Linked DNA regions of Notamacropus eugenii. The protein of the gene in region 1 purifies or fractionates together with the protein of each later gene. This does not show direct contact. Links are inferred from orthologs where the notes say so. Each region holds a gene or a part of one and is shown in the gene's direction. Other genes may lie near its edges.

Region 1 (8,061 bases):
TTAGAAAAACATGGAAAGACATGAAATAATGAAGGATGAGCAGAGCCAAGAGAACGTTGTACACAGTAACAGCAATATTGTTTGGAGAACAATTGTGAATGACTAAGTTATTCTGGGTTGCAAATATTCAGATGAACTACAAAGGACCTATGAAGGAAGATACTATGTACACCTCCAGAGAAAAAACTGATAAGTAGAAGTAAGCATGGTATGGTTTTACATTCACTTGTGTGTGTGTTGTGTGTGTGTGTGTGTGTGTGTGTGTGTGTGTGTGTGTGTACATGTGCACAAGTGTGTATGTCAAATGGTGGCCTTCTCTAGTGTTGGGTGGGGAGGAGGGAGGGATGGAGACAGTTTGGAACTTAAAATGTAACAGAATAAATAAATAAAAATTTTAAAAATAGGTAAAGAAGGGGTACTACCAAGTTACTTTCACGGCAAAAATATGGTCTTGATACCTAAAGGAGGAAATGCCAAAGAAGAAAACTAAAGACCACTTTCCCTAATGAATATTAATGCAAAATTTTAAATAAAATATTAGTAAGACTATAGCAATATATCCCACAAAAATCATACACTATAGTTAAGCTAGATATTTACCAGAAAGACAGAACTGGTTAGGATAGCTGTAACCATAACTGACCATATTAATAACCAACAAAAATCATTCTAATTGATGCAGAAAAAGCTTTTGACAAAATACAACACCTATTCCTCTTTTAAAAAACAGCTAGAAAGTGTAGGAATAAGTGGAGTCTTTTATTTATTTTTTTTGGTGAGGCAATTGGGGTTAAGTGACTTGCCCAGGGTCACACAGCTAGTGTTTTATCTAAGGCTGGATCTAAACTCAGGTCCTCCTGACTCTAGGGCCAGTGCTGTCCATCCATTGGGCCACCTAGCTATCCCAGTAGAGCCTTTCCTAAAATAATAAATAGTATCTATCTAAAACCAAGAAGTCAGCATTATCTGTAAAGAGAGTAAGTTAGAAACCCTTTCAGTAATATCAGAGTTGAACCAAGGATGTCCATCATCAATATTACTATTCAATATTGTACTAAAAATGCTAGCTGTAGCATTGACAAGAAAAAGAAATGGAAGGAATAAGTGCAGGTAAAGATCAAACAAAACTCACTTTTTGCAGCTGCGTGGGTAGAGTGATATAGTGACAGAGAGTCAACTAAAAAACTTATTGGAACAACTTCAGCAAAGAAATAGGATATAGAGTACACCTGCACAAATCATCAGTATTTCTGTATATAACCAGCAAAATACAGCAGGAAGAGATAGAGAAATTCTATTTAAAAGAACTATAAAATATTTGGGAGTCTACTTGCCAAGACACACCCTGGTACCCTACATGAACACAATTACAAAACACTTAGCACAGGTTAAGACATTTAAATAATTAGAGAAATATTAATTACTCGTGGATAGGCCAAAAAAAAATTACAATATTACCTAAATCACTTTACTTTTCCAGTGCCATCCCAATCAGACTACCAAAGAGTTATTTTATAGAATTAGAAAAAATAACAAAATTCCTCTAGAAGGACAAAATGTTGATGTCAAGGGAATTAATGAAAAAAATAAGGGGGAGGGGCAGCAGTATCAAATTTCAAACTATGCTACAAAGCTCTAATCGCTAAAACAGTTTGGTGACAAAATGGATAGAGTGCCTGACCTAAAATCAGTAAGACTCATCTTGAGTTCAAATCCAGCCTCGGACACTTAATAGGTATGTGATCCTGGGCACTCGTCCATTTAACCCTGTTGGGCACAGTCTTCTATAAAATGAGCTGGAGAAGAAAATGGCAAACCACTTCAGTATCTTTGCCAAGTAAAGCCCGCATGGGATTATGAAGAGTTGGGTTTGACAAATGACTGAACAAGAAATCTGTTCAGTGGAACAGATTAGATACCTAATATACAGAAGCAGAGGAGCACGGTAATCCAGTGTTTGATAAACCCAAAGATCCCAGCTATTAGGGCAAGAACTGACAAAAGTTGCTGGGAAAAGTGGAAAGTAGTATGGCAAAAACTAGGTATAGACAAATATGCTATTTACCAAGATAAACTCAAAATAAGTACATGATTTAGACATAAATGATGACATCGTAAGCAAATTAGTGGATCATGGAAAAAGTTATCTGTCATCTGTGGATAGGTTTTCTTCCTGTCTCTGCTTTTCTTGGATCCTCCTCCAGGTCACATCCTCTAACTGTGGATGTCCCTCAGGGTTCCCTCCTATGCCCTTTTCTCTCTCTTCACTTGGTGATCTCATTAGTTCCTATGGATTTAATTACCATCTCTGCTGATTCTTACATCTCCCTGTCATGCCCCAAACTCTCTGTTGACCTGTAATCAATTTTCCATTTCCAATCGCCTTTCTGACATCTCAAACTAGATATCAGTTAACATTTTAAACTCACTATGTCCATAACAGAACTTACTATCTTTCCTCTTAAACCTCCCTCCCCAACTTCCCTTTTAGAATAGAGGAAGCCACTATTTACCCAGTCTGTCAGGCTCATAACCTAAGATTCATCCTGGATTCCTCACTATCTCTTATTCCCTCATATCCAAACAGTTCCCAAAGCTTGTCGATGTCACCTTTGCAACTTCTCTAATATATGCCCCCTTTTCTCCTCTGACACTGCTACCACCCTGGTGTGGACTCTCATAATCTCACCCTTGATGACTGCATTAGCCTGCTGGTGGCTCTGCCTGCTTCAAGTCTCCCCCCACTCCAATCCACTCTCCACTCAACCACTAAAGTGATTTTCATAAAATGAAAGTCTGGTCATATCAGCCCCCTACTCAATGATCTTCAGTGGCTCCCTATTTCCTCCAGGAGCAAATTCAAAGCCCTTCCTAACCTAGCCCCCCTCCTACCTTTCCAGTCTTGTTACACCTTACTCCTTGACACAGACTTTTCAATTCAGTGACACTGGTTTCCTGACTGTTCCACAAACAAGACACTCCCATCTTTGGGTTCCACACATTTTCTCTGGCTGTCCCTTATGCTTGGAACACTGCCCTTTCTCTGCTCCAGCTTTTGACTACTGGCTTCATTTAGGTCTCAGCTAAAACCCCACCTTCTACAGGAAGCCTTCCTCTTACTCACAGTGCCTTTTCTTCTGTTAATTATTATTTTATTTACCATGTATATGGTTTGCTTTGCATATGTTTGTTTGCATGTTGTCTCCGTTAGATTGGAAACTCCTTGAGGGCAGGGAGTCTTTTGCTTCTTTTAGTATCCCTAGCACTTAGCAGAGTCCCTGGCACATATTAGGCACTTAACCAATATTGATTGATTGATTGAAGAGTTGATGACCCAGTGGGATAGAGAGGTTGACAGAAGGCAAAATGGACAATTTTGATTTTTTAAAATAAGGTTTTTGCACAAATAAAACTAATGCTGCTAAAAACAAGAAGAGAAGCAGGAAACTGAGAAATCTTTGTAGCATGTTTGTCTGATAAAGGTTTTATTTCTAAGATACATATGGAACTGATTCAAATTTATAAGAATAAGAGCCATTCCCCGACTGATAAATGGTCAAAGAATACAAACAGGCAGTTTTCAGAAGAAAAAATACAAGCTATTAATGGTCACGAAAAGGTATTCTAAATCACTAGTAATTAGAGAAATGCAAATTCAAAGAACTCTGAGGTTTCACTTCACACCCATCAGATTGTCTAGGCTGATCCAACTCAGAACTGGTCTGACCTTTCTGGAAGGCAGGTCAGAACTATGTTCCAAAACTATTAACCTATTTATACTCTTTGACTCAAAGTTACTGATACTAGGTCCAAGGAGGTCAAAAAGAAAGAGGAAACGGACCCATACGTACAAAACTACTTGTAGTAGCTCTTTTTGTAGTGACCAGTAACTGGAAACTGAGCTGACGCCTCTCCACTGGGGAACGGCCAACAAGTTATGGGGTGTGAGCGTGATGGAATATAACCTTGGGCAGCAAGAAACGATGAAGGGGAAGGTTTCAGAGGAACCAGCAGAGGCTCGCGTGAACGGAAGGGAAGTAAAGTGAGCAGAACGAGGAGAAAAAGGAAGGCGATAATAGCAGGATTATAAAAATCAGCTTTGAAAGACGTAGGAATTCTGACGAACACAACGAGCAGCCAAAATTGCGAAGGCCTGGGGATGAAAAAGCCATGTACCCCCCGAACCTGGAGACTGGGCGGTGTAGAGTGCTGGGAATAAAGCCGACAACCCCCTCGTGTGTGCCCCAGGCCAGACACTTCACCTGGCTGCCTCAGTCTCATCTTTAAAACGGAGATGATAATGGTGCCTGTCTGGTAGGCTTGGGAGGGACGGGTGGAACATCAAGTGCTACATGGTAGCTATTATTTCTGTCCCCTCTCTCTCCAGAGTAACAGGAGAATTTGTTTTGCATGACCATATATTTTCAATTTAATTTGTCATTTGCAACTGAAAAACAGGCTTTTTTTTTAAAGGCCCGTGAACCGCCGGATCTCCCAAGAGCAGCCAGCCAAGTCAGCTGGGACTCGGGATGCGCGGGGCCCAGTGCGGGAAGCATTGGGGGGGGGGCGGCTCTTCTCACGGACCCCAGGGGGCCTTGCTCGTACACACCTCGCCCCTCAGTTTGGGGGTGCAGGGAGGACGGCTGCCCCCAAAGGAGCCCCCGGCCCCTGAAGCCCCACCCCCTCATTTTGCAATGGAGGAAAAGGAGGCCTGGGGAGCTTAAGCAGCTGTGGCTCGAAAGGACCCAAATCGTTGTTGGCTAAACCAGCAGTAAGACAGGCCCGCTCCGCCCCGCCCCAGCCCCGGCAAACCGGAGGCGGGGGCCGGAGTGGAGCTTTCCCGCCAAAGCGGCAGGAATGGGCGGAGCCACGACGCCCCTGCCCCGCCTTCACCCACCAGACGAGACCCGCGGAGTGGTTCGACCGGACTTTTTCTTTCCCGAGATATCCGGGGTGGGACCCGGGGTGGGAGGGAAGGGAAAGGGAAAGGGAAAGGAAGGTTTCTAGGAGTGGGCGGGCGGGCCCGAGTCCCCGCCTTTTCCGGCGCTTGGCCGTGACGCCACATCCGGTTCCCTTCACCCTCACCATGCCGGAGTGATGTCATCATGCGCGACGTGCAGCCCTGAGTCGCGCCGGTGACGCATTCGGACCTGGAGGATGGCGGAGCAAGAGGTGTTACGCGTGGTGCCCAGCGACTTGTTCCCTCTCGTGCTCGGTTTCCTGCGCGACAACCAGTTTCCGGAGGCGGCAAGCAAATTCGCTAAGGCCACGGGCACCGTGAGTCCCCCCGCGCTCGGGGAGGAGGGCGATCTGAGCACCGGGCGAGGGGAGAGGAAAGCACGTGGTCCCCCGGGCCTAGGGGGGAGGGGGCCCTCGTGGGCCCCGGGAAAGGGGGGCCCGGGTAGGGCGATCCCTGGCACCTGGCGTTGGGGTCATGGGCTTAATGCCCGCTCTGGTGGTCACAGAAGCCTCTCCTGGTAAATCGAGGCAAGGCTGCAGGACCGGTCAGTATGGGTCTTAGTTTGTGGAGGCGGTGGGGGAGGGGAGCCCTTAAGAAGAGTCAGATCCATATGATGCTCCAGGGGCAGCTAAGGGGGACGACCCCGGCTCGGTTCTGGTTCGTGTGTTTTTTTATCAGTTACAGCTTTTACACGCCGACCTTTCCACTTCCACTGCAGCCAGTCACTTAGCACGTGCGCTCCTTGAAGTGAGGGGCTGCTCCATTTTTGTGCCTGTGTCCCCAGCCTTCTGTCTGGCACATAGTTAGTACATAATAAATACTTCAGGTTGATGTTTCACCCTGATCAGTGATACACCATTCTAAGTCGTGTTTCCACCTGGAATCTTCCACTTTCTCCTTGAATAATCTTTTCAGTGCATTTGAATTATCTGACTCTACCAAGGACCCACCACTGTATTTTCTCTCTTTCCCACTGTATTCACCCTCCACCCCCCAGCAAGAAGAAATCATGCATATTTTTCTGGTGGACCAGGCTTAAAGTTTATAAGATTTGTAGAAATTTGTGCTTCATAATAATTGCTCTTGATTTGCAATCCCAGAATGTGCAACAGAAGAAAAGATGCTGAGTTTTGAGTTACAAGTTTATGTCTTGCCTCTGACTTGTGGCTATGGACAAGTTACTCAACTTTTCTGAGCTTGTTTTTTCTATTGTAAAAGGCAATACTTGAGCTTACTACCTCATAGGGTGTAGGGAAGGTGCTTTGTTAACTTTAAGCACAATATAAATGTGACTTGTTATTCTACGTCCCAGCCAGCTTGGATTGTTCTCCATCCCCCATTTTCTTGCTGTTTCCTGTTTCAGTGGCTTTGTTCACATTCTCCCTTCAAGGCCTAGCTTAGATGCCATGCTGCAGTGGAGCTTTCCTTGGGTCTGCCCCTTTGTAACTGTCAATTAATTGAAGCTTTTAATATAGTTATAATTTTGCCTGGACCCTTCTTTTGTTCCTATTATACAATTCCTTGTATCAAAATGTATTGTGAGTTCCTTACAAAGCAGAGTCTGTATCTTCTTTGTTGTTATATCCTTAGCAGCTTGAACATGGTAGGTACTTAGTAAGTGTTCAGTAATTTTAATTTATATGTATGAAAACATTGTAGCATGCTTCGGGTTTGCAGATGATATGAGGCTGGGAAGACTAGCTAAAAACATGTTGGGATCAAAAAAAGCCCAGGTTGTAAGAGTAGACTAACTTAATAGAACTTTGTGGATGTGACTGCAAAAATTCCAGCATTTTAGGGATATCAGCTCTACCTCTTTCCGTCCTTGCAGGCCCAACAGGACCCCAATGCCACTTCCCTTTTGGACATCTATAGTTTCTGGCTCAAGTAAGTCCCTTCTGCACCCTTCGGCTCTCTCTTCCTTGGTGTCTCATAGGCCAGCCCCTTCTCAAAGTTCATTTTGCCTTTTCTTCACCCAGTAGGTCTTCCAAAGCTCAGAAGCGCAAGTTGCAGGCTAACGGACCAGTAGCAAAGAAAGCTAAGAAATCCACTGCTTCTGGCGACAGCAGTCATAAAGGAGAGGCCAAACAGCCTCCAACCAAAAAATTAGGTGAGGGATGAATTTTTGGGAGTGGAGGGGGTGTTCTTTCCATGTGTTTGATTTCTAGCTAAAGCACATGAAGGTTCTTCTTGCTCGCTTGGGAATACTCCCCTTGTCCAGAGGCCTAATTCTCACCAATTCCATATTCTTCCCCAGCCACCAAGCCACCTGGTACATCCACTCAGCCTTTGAAGTCAACCATTCCTGCCAAAGCAGCAGAGAGTAGTAGTAGTAGCAGTGAGGACTCCAGTGAGGAAGAAGACACTGGAAGCCAGAAGAAGTCTGCCCAGGTTGAAATATATGGGTTTCAGGAGAGGAACTAGGGGCAGAAATCTGTGTCTGCTTGATTCAGAGATGCCATTAGAAAGGAAATCTTTCCAAACTGAACTTGTTCTGGGTGGGGTCAGGCTGGTGGGAAGAGGATTCTCCATGTTGTTCTGTTTTAGGGCGCCCTTGTCTGGACACCCCAAAGCCTTTTGCTGAACACTTGTTCCTTCTCCTAACAGAAGGGAGCCAAGCCCCCAGCCAAGGCAGTCAAGCCTTCCCCCAAGGCAGCTCAGCCTAAGAAAGCTGAAAGCTCCAGCTCTGACTCCGACTCTGACTCCGACTCCAGCTCAGAGGACGAAGCTACGAAGAAACAGAAAACAAAGACTCCAGTTAAGACCCCAGTTAAGACTCCAGTTAAGACTTCAGTCAAGGCCACAGCTAAGACTCCAGTCAAGACTCCTGCTAAGCCAGGTACTTTTCTTTCTTCAAGTAAGGATTTTTCTTTAGCAAAAGGAGTGGCAAGAGACTTGGCCGTTTTGTGATCTGGGGTCTTAGAATTGTCCCTCCCCCACAATATATGCTCACATTTCTCCTCTGATAAGCCACTTGGCTGTCACCAGGGGTTCTTTTGAAGGCATTATGTAGTCACTGAAGAGAAAAACTTTTGTATTACTTCTCTTACTCCTAAAATGGGGATGGGGCAGGAGAACATGTTATAAACTTGGGCAGATCT
Region 2 (7,817 bases), on another chromosome or scaffold:
TCTTTCTTCTGTGGTGGGAAGGGAAACTAGCGATGACTATTCTCATAGAAAAAAAGGGATATTCGATAAAGGAGCTTACAATGTGTATAATCTGTAGGGATTTAGGACTTAAAGAGACCATACACAAAAGAAAACTGAAAAATGGGGTTCAGGGTGGCCAGGAAGTACAAAGCAAAACTCCATATTATTCCATGGAGTTGAAGTCAAGCAAAGCAGTTGAGGAAAGTGGAGTTACCAGGAAGGCTGTATAAAGGATTTATTGGACATTCACTCTCTTGAGACCTACTGACCTATCTGCCCTACTCCAGTGCTAGCTGTTGGTATGGACTAATCATAATTATAATCAAATCTAGGGGTCCTGCCTTCCTAAATCTGAATTCATAGAGATCTCAAACTGGTAAGTAATGTTACAAAAGAAAAATCTGTACCTAGAAATCTATATAGCAAAAGTACTAGGGAAAAAAGGTATTATCTCTGGGTTCATTCCCCCCCATTATTTGAACTAGTTGTTGGAATATAGCATACAAAGCGTCTTCGCTTGAAATACAATTATGAACTATTATCTTTGCAGGACTGGAAGGTGGCATCTTTCACTTAGATTCCAATGTAATAAATATTTATCATTCTCAACTTGCTCCTCACAAAGTTCAACCAATTCATCTATTAGCAATAAGTAATTGTATTAGACTATCTTTACAGGACCCCACCCCCACCCCCACCTCCCCCAAGCTCTGGGACTATTTTGTAAACAGGTAAGCTGGCCAGTCTCTTCAAAACTAGGTATGGAGTGAGTTTCCATTGATGTAACTTGTGTGTCCAATGAACATCAAAATTTCATAGTAAAACTGTCACCATGTTGAAAGTCTCAACAATAAACTTGGGCATCATACATTTAATTATTTATTTGAGCATTTTTCTGGCTTGAAATCTTAGCTAGGTGGTAAGCTTCCTTTAGCTTCTTTCTCAGCTGAGAGATGTACTGATTGTGAGTTCCTGCAGTATCTCCTTCTTCAGAGATTCCAAACCAAAAGTTAATAATAGACAGGCATGGCTCATACCCAAACTTCTCACTCTTGGTGAAGTTGTATACATGTATCAAGAAAGTCACATGTTCACTCTGCTGAGACTTTGGTTAGAGGGATAAATGTAAACTGTACTAGGAAACAAAAATTGGCTTCACAAGAGAGAAAAGTTATAATTAGACAGTAGTCTGTCTGAAAACAAAAATCTACGCATTTCAGAGGACTTTGTAAGGTTATTTATTAGGCAATAGTATGATGTAGCAGCCAAAAAACTAATGCGATCATGGGCTACATTAAAACAGGCATAGCTTCCAGGAATAAGGAGGTTGTAGCTTCTCTGTACTCTCTTCTCACTAGATCTCACTGGGAGTATTGTGTTAATTTTGGGTATCTGAGCCACCACTGGGCCTTGCTCCTTACGGAACAGATGGTTTGCTAGTTGCAAACCCAAACTCCAGAAAGATAAGATGTGAGAAGCTCTCTACACCTTTTGAGCTCACAAGATCATAGGCTCTACTTCCTTTACCAGTAAATGAGCTACCCAAGAATAGGAGATTCCCTTATACTTCATGACAATTCTTATTACGAGATGGCTTGTTTTCCCTATTGTCCTTCGTGTGGAAATGCCATCTGAGAAACTATGGGCATGCTCCAAACTCCATTACAGGAGATGCCTGCTAACTTTTGAGAAAGTAGTTTCAGATTAAGTAATGTCAGAAATAAGATTGCAAACGATTGAAGAGTGAGAGGAGTGAAAATGGAGGCAGCAAGTGTAGATAGGTGTTGCAAGGAATCTAAGAAAGGGAAAGAGATACAGAATAATATAAGGGGAAGGTAGTGTCTAATGAAGATTTTCTAAGGATAGAAGAGATTTGGACATATTTGAAGGGCAGTAAGAAAGGAACCAGTTGATAGAGATGTTAAAGATCTGAAAGGGGAACAAGTTATTGACAATGTAATCCGTTAGGGAAAAAAATTGGCATCAAGTGCACATGTAGAAGGGTTGGCCTTCATCAAGGGGAAATGAGGATGTCAAAGGGTTTTGAAATTAAGAAAATGGGAGAAGAGGGAGCTCATACTGAATAGCTGCAGTATTTTTAGTAATATCAGAGACAAGGTCTTCAGCTTGAGAAAGAAGAGGAGGTGTGAAGAATTGTAGGAGGGAAGAAAATGTTGCAATAGCTTTTAGGAGGAATGAGGAATCCATTAGAGAGGAATAAAAGGACTACCTTAATGCAGCAAGGGCCCATTTGAGGATGAATGACATGAATCTGTAATGGACCCAGGCAAGAAAGCTCTTGAGAAGTGGAGGAAATAAATGGTGAAACTAATCCAATGCTGAAATTTGATGAAAAATGAGTAGGACACAGGGACAAGGGCTTCAAAAGCAAAGAACACGGTAGAGTTTAAATGGCTGATTTTGGGGTTGAGAATGAAGAGGGAAGGGAATGAAGTCAAATCAGAGATCATGATCTGAGAAAGTACCGAAGGGTAGAGTGAATGGAAATGTTCATGACAGCAAAGAATATATGTAAGAGGGAAAAAGCAGGAGAAATGGAATGATAGAAAATTATGGTCAGACAGAGAGAGAGTTTCTAATTAGAGAAATAGAACCCTTGTGAATAATGGCAAGAGCTAGTGCATATCATTTGTGGCTAAATGGTATGAAAGAATAGGTCATGGGACTTAGAGAATTCAAGGAAATGGGAGATTAGGAAGTTTAAATGCACATCTACATGAATATTAAAGTATATTAAAGAATATTAAAGTATCCAAGTATAGGAAAAGGAGCTGGAGAAGAAGTGAAGATGTCAGCCTGGGGTTGATCTCCTTGAAAAAGTACAATGGAATAACTAGAGAGGCAGTATACTACAGTTATCAAAATTTTGATGGCGTAGAAAATTTTAATTGTGTAGATTTCCAAAGAGGGCAGGTTACTGAGTGAAGGAGATAGAGGGAAAGTATGAAAGTGAAAATGGGAAGCAAGGAATATTCTGACTCTTCCTCCAAACCACTGAGTATGTGTGTGTTGAGAGAGAGAGAGAGAGAGAGAGAGAGAGAGAGAGAGAGAGAGAGAGAGGAAGTACAATCAGTGCCGGAGAGGATAATCAGAGCTGAAGTGTCTCAGAAAGGAGCCAGGTCTTAACAAGGGCTTTAAAGATGGAAAACATACAAGAAAAGAAGTGCAGGAAGGAGAATTTGTTCAGTATTAAATAGGAATTCCAGAGGAAGGGGTGGGAAGGGTTGGATTAAGATATGAGTAGGGTCGGATTGAGAACTGTGTGAATGAAAGAGCATGAGGAAGGGATAAGGGACAATTTTCTTGGAAATGGCCACTAATTATTACAAGGATAAAGACTGAAAAAGGACAAGCCATATGGTTAGTAGTGGGTGGAAGATGAGGAGAGTTCATAGTTTCTATTGTAGGGGCACTGTAGAAGTACCTGGGCTGGGGTTGGGTCTGTCCCTTCTATGAGAAAGTCTAGTAGAGGTAGTGATGAGTTATTCAGAGTGAAAGGTTCCAAAAGTCTTTCAATTGGTCTTCCTGCCTTAAGTCTCTCCCCATTCCAACCCATCCTCCACTTAACTGCCAAAGTGATTTTCCTAAAGTGTAGCTCTTATCATGTTACATACAATAAACTCTAGTGGCTCCCTATTATCTCCAGGATCAAATGTAAAGTGTTCTGTTTGGCATTTAAAGGTGTACAGAACCTGTTTCCTTACTATCTTTATACCCTTCATGAACAGACTTCTTGGGCATGCACCACTCAAATCTCCTATCTCAATGTTTTTACACTAGATGTCTTTCATTTTAGTCTCCCCCAACCACTTAATGTTCCTGAATTCCTTCAAGTTTCAGCTGAAATCTGACCTTCTGCAAGAGACTTTTCCCTCCACCCTTCCTTCCCAGAGAGTAGTGCCTTTCCCTCTGATATTACCTCCCACATGCTCTCTATATAATTTCAATGTGCCTCCCTGTTTACATGTTGTCTCCCCCATTAGAATGGCTTTTTCTATTTTACCGCAGTCTCTCTGCGAGTGAAATGCTTGCAGTTCCGGCATACAGATATTTTACACTTATCAGATATACTACATACTATAATACATGTCTGTATTAGTATAGCAGGGGTATGACACACGGATGTCTATAGACCACAGACATATCTGTCTATATTTTACACATCTAGTACAGCAGTATGTGACAATTGTTCTATGACATGTATCATATATTATATAACACTGCACAAATTGTTATGTAATTACATAATAGGTAAATACAGTGCCTCTATATGCACAAAATATTTAGTACGAACATATTTTTCGTGTAGAGATCTCCGGGCAATCGGTCAAAACCACAAAAATCACAAGTCACGAACGAGAGACCACGTTCCAGCTCTGCTTCTCCATTTTAAGATTTCTTTACTTTACCAGTAGGAGCGCATCCTGCGGGCCAGGCGTCCCGCTTTAATTGTTCAGTTTTTTTATTCTTATTCTCAACCTCCAGTCAATACGAGACTCTAACCAGTCATTTCCCAAAACTGGGCTTGGGGGAGGAGCACGTTCGCTCCGACCCGCGCTGGGAACCAGGAGTCACTGGCTAGCCTTCTGTCTTTCCCTGTGCGCGCATGCGCGTGCACCTCCCCTCCCGGAAGTGCTGAGCCGCATCCCAGAAGCCTTCATCCGGTCTCCGCTCCTTCCCCGCCCTTACTTTCCCATGAGCCCACGTGTGCTGGGTTCGTGGTTGGTCTGAAGTTTTCGCGCGTTGCGCCCGCCGGGAGTTCTCTGATGCCCCCGGCCGGCCCGGAGCGCTGACTTAAGGGGCTCCCGAGAGGCCGCCGCGCCGCTCCCCCGCTTCCCCAGCTTCCCCGTTGGTTGGGCGCGCGCGGGGGGCTGCCCGGCCTCTCTCACTGCAGCCTCGCCATGTTGGTGCTGTTTGAGACGGCGGCCGGCTACGCCATCTTCAAGGTAGGCCGCAGACAGGAGGTGCTGTGGGAGCAGCGGCGGGGCCGGGCCTGGCCCTCGGGCGCGTGGAGCGAGCGGGGGAGCCGCTCCCCGAGCACGTGGCCCCAGGGAGGCTGCGGAGCCCCGGGCCGGGCCTGCGCGGGGCGGAGCGGGGGAAGGGAAGGGATCGGCCGCCCTCGTGGAGCTGTGGAGACTGGCCCTGGTCCGCCAGAGCCGAAGGCCCCGGCGACTGTGGGGGGCCTCCCGCCTGGGCCGTGCCGCGTGCGGGCAGCTGCCCCACCTGAAGCCTGGGCCTGCTGTGTGCAGCCCCACGACCGAGCACGGGACCGCCCGGTGTGATCAGGGACTGGTTAAACCAGGAAGGGATCGGTGCAAAGCGGAGGGAGGCCCAGAGGAGAAAAAAAAATCTCGTTTCCCTAAGAAACAGAAAGAGGTGGCACCTGCGTTGGGAGGATTCCACAAATAACGATGATAATAATCAATATTTATATAGCTCCTACTGCGTGCTAAGCGCTGTACGGGTATCTCGTTTGGTCCTGACAGCACCCCTGGGAGGTAGCTATTATTATTGAGGAGGACTGCCTTCATTCCTCACCGTTATTATAAGGAAACTGAGGCAGACAGTGATTAAGTGACTTGCCCAGGGTCACATAGTTCATAAGTATCTGAGGCCGGGTTAGAATTCAAGTCTTGCTGAGTGGGCCACATTAAACACTTTCCACGTGCCAGGAACTTTACTAAGCCCTGGGGTTAATTCCATTAGATTGTGAGCTGGAGGACAGAGACTGTTTCTGCCTGTCTTTGTATCCCCAGCATTTTTGGCACCTAGTAGGAGCTCATAGTGTTAATGGACTAGATGGAGTGGAAGGGATAAACTAGATCGCAAAGTGAACGTTTACGTTGCCAAGTCACTAACTTCTTTATTAAAATGAGATTGGTTGAGTACGGGTTGCTTAAAAAATAGGTTGGAATTAAATTACCGGATAATTTTTAAAATTCAAGTGTGCTATCTATATAACTGGACTTATCGGGAAGAACCGTTATTTGGTACATTTGAAGAGTAGTGAGGCCAAATGACCACAGGCAGCAGAGAAACAATCCACACTTCGTTGCATCTCATCTTCAGAAGCTGCCTTGAGAGCTCACTCATCTGGAAACCAAAAGTCACGCATCAGCACTGTCACATGCATCCGTTTTCATCTTGGCTTGTATCTAGTTTGAAGTATCTCAAAAGAAACAGGAGATTCTCAAATGTAGAAAATCCACCCGAAATGTTCACATACACTACTTGTATCTGACCTGTGGTAGAGCATTCTGAACTATTGGTCTGATCAGGCACCCTTGTGACATTGTGGCTTGACTCTAACATAGTGAAGTCATTTGGTCCTTTTGGGAATGAAGGATAACCACCTTTTAAAGTCCTACCTAGTACCCACCCTCAACTGCACTAACCAATACCCTCCTTTCCTCGCCTCTAAAAAAAATAAATTGCTTAGGGCAAGAGGGCGTGGAGCTGTTATTTGGGTAACTGTAAGAAGAAAATTTAGTTATGGCCTTTAGTTTTTCATCTTAAGACTTTTGGACACTATATGTTGTTGGTCTTCTGTTCCAAGATGGGGGGGAGGGCAGTATTTTAGTAGAGTATAGAAGTGAGGGAGGGAGAAGGGCAAAGTAGGCAAGAGTAAGGGAATCTTTCTCCTTGATGAATGGTCTTTGTTGTTGACCAGACAGTTTAGGTGTGACCTCCCTTTAGCACTTATGGCTGATCTCATCCTGGGTTCAGGTTCTGTATCTGGTGCTTACTGCTTGTGACCTTAGACAAATTACTTAAAATCTTTTGGGGCCTCAGTTTCCTCATCTGTAAAATGAGAGGGTTAGGCTCTATTCTAACCTTTTAGATCTCTCTATTCTACCTTTGGCCTTAGCTAGGCCCAAAAAATAGTGCCCTCTACAGAAGAAAATGGGGTGAAAGGGTACAGTTTGCTTGGTACAAACTCTGGTCACAACTACTTTAAACATCTCAGTGGGGTTCAGTAACATCTTATATCATTCATTCAACAAATATTTCCTGAGTACTTGCTGTGTGTAATTTTCTTTTTCTTATTAAGAGAAAATTTGTAAAGTGATTTGAGTTCTTTGGATTTTGCACTTCAGCACCTCCAAGGATCTGTGATTTCTTCAGGGTGGATAACCTCTCCTATAATTTAGTACATGGTCAAGACTTGTGGCCAACTGTGATGTGCCTCTCTGAGTCTAGTCTGATGGGACAGCAGATAACAGTCAGTGTGTCATTGAGTTTACATTTGAAGCTTTTACATCTTGGAAGAACCTGCTATAGTTTCCACTTGGCCTTCAGTGACCTGGTGTCACCTCCATCATGGGGCTTCAGAATGAGAAATGAAGGAAGGCTTTGGAATAGGGGTACATAATAAATATTAGTTAATTTACTTGAAAAATAGGACCATGTAGAGAAGAAATGTGACTAGTCCCATATGCATTTATAGAAGAGGGAAGTAGCTTTCTGTTACCCTTACATATTTATTTAAGGGGACAACATGAACATATAACAGAAACCTTTGCTGTAGCATTTTTTAAAAATCAATTTAACTGATCTTTATTCTAGGTTCTAAATGAGAAGAAATTACAAGAGGTGGACAGTTTGTGGAAAGAATTCGAAACTCCAGAGAAAGCAAATAAAATGTAAGTGTTCTTAATGGGAGCTTTAAAAAGGGGGGGAACTTAATTGAGAATTTGCTTCGCTTTTCCTTGATTTTTATTACTGCTTTGTTTATTGCAAAGTTTATTTGAATTCTATTTGTGCTGTTATCTAAT

What was found.
Region 2: the proteins of NOLC1 (region 1) and NOP58 fractionate together in Homo sapiens (co-fractionation; 3 studies listed by BioGRID, with this or other methods). This does not show direct contact. The link is inferred for Notamacropus eugenii from reciprocal best matches to the Homo sapiens genes NOLC1 and NOP58.

The regions. Positions count from the first base shown.
Region 1 is NC_092872.1:180,290,908-180,298,968, forward strand, and holds the start of NOLC1 (nucleolar and coiled-body phosphoprotein 1), read left to right. Parts: upstream 1-4,976; 5' UTR 4,977-5,157; coding exon 5,158-5,277; intron 5,278-6,791; coding exon 6,792-6,847; intron 6,848-6,939; coding exon 6,940-7,070; intron 7,071-7,217; coding exon 7,218-7,351; intron 7,352-7,567; coding exon 7,568-7,799; intron 7,800-8,061. UniProt on the Homo sapiens protein: Nucleolar protein that acts as a regulator of RNA polymerase I by connecting RNA polymerase I with enzymes responsible for ribosomal processing and modification.
Region 2 is NC_092877.1:298,578,335-298,586,151, forward strand, and holds the start of NOP58 (nucleolar protein 58), read left to right. Parts: upstream 1-4,669; 5' UTR 4,670-4,943; coding exon 4,944-4,988; intron 4,989-7,608; coding exon 7,609-7,685; intron 7,686-7,817. UniProt on the Homo sapiens protein: Required for the biogenesis of box C/D snoRNAs such as U3, U8 and U14 snoRNAs. Part of the small subunit (SSU) processome, first precursor of the small eukaryotic ribosomal subunit.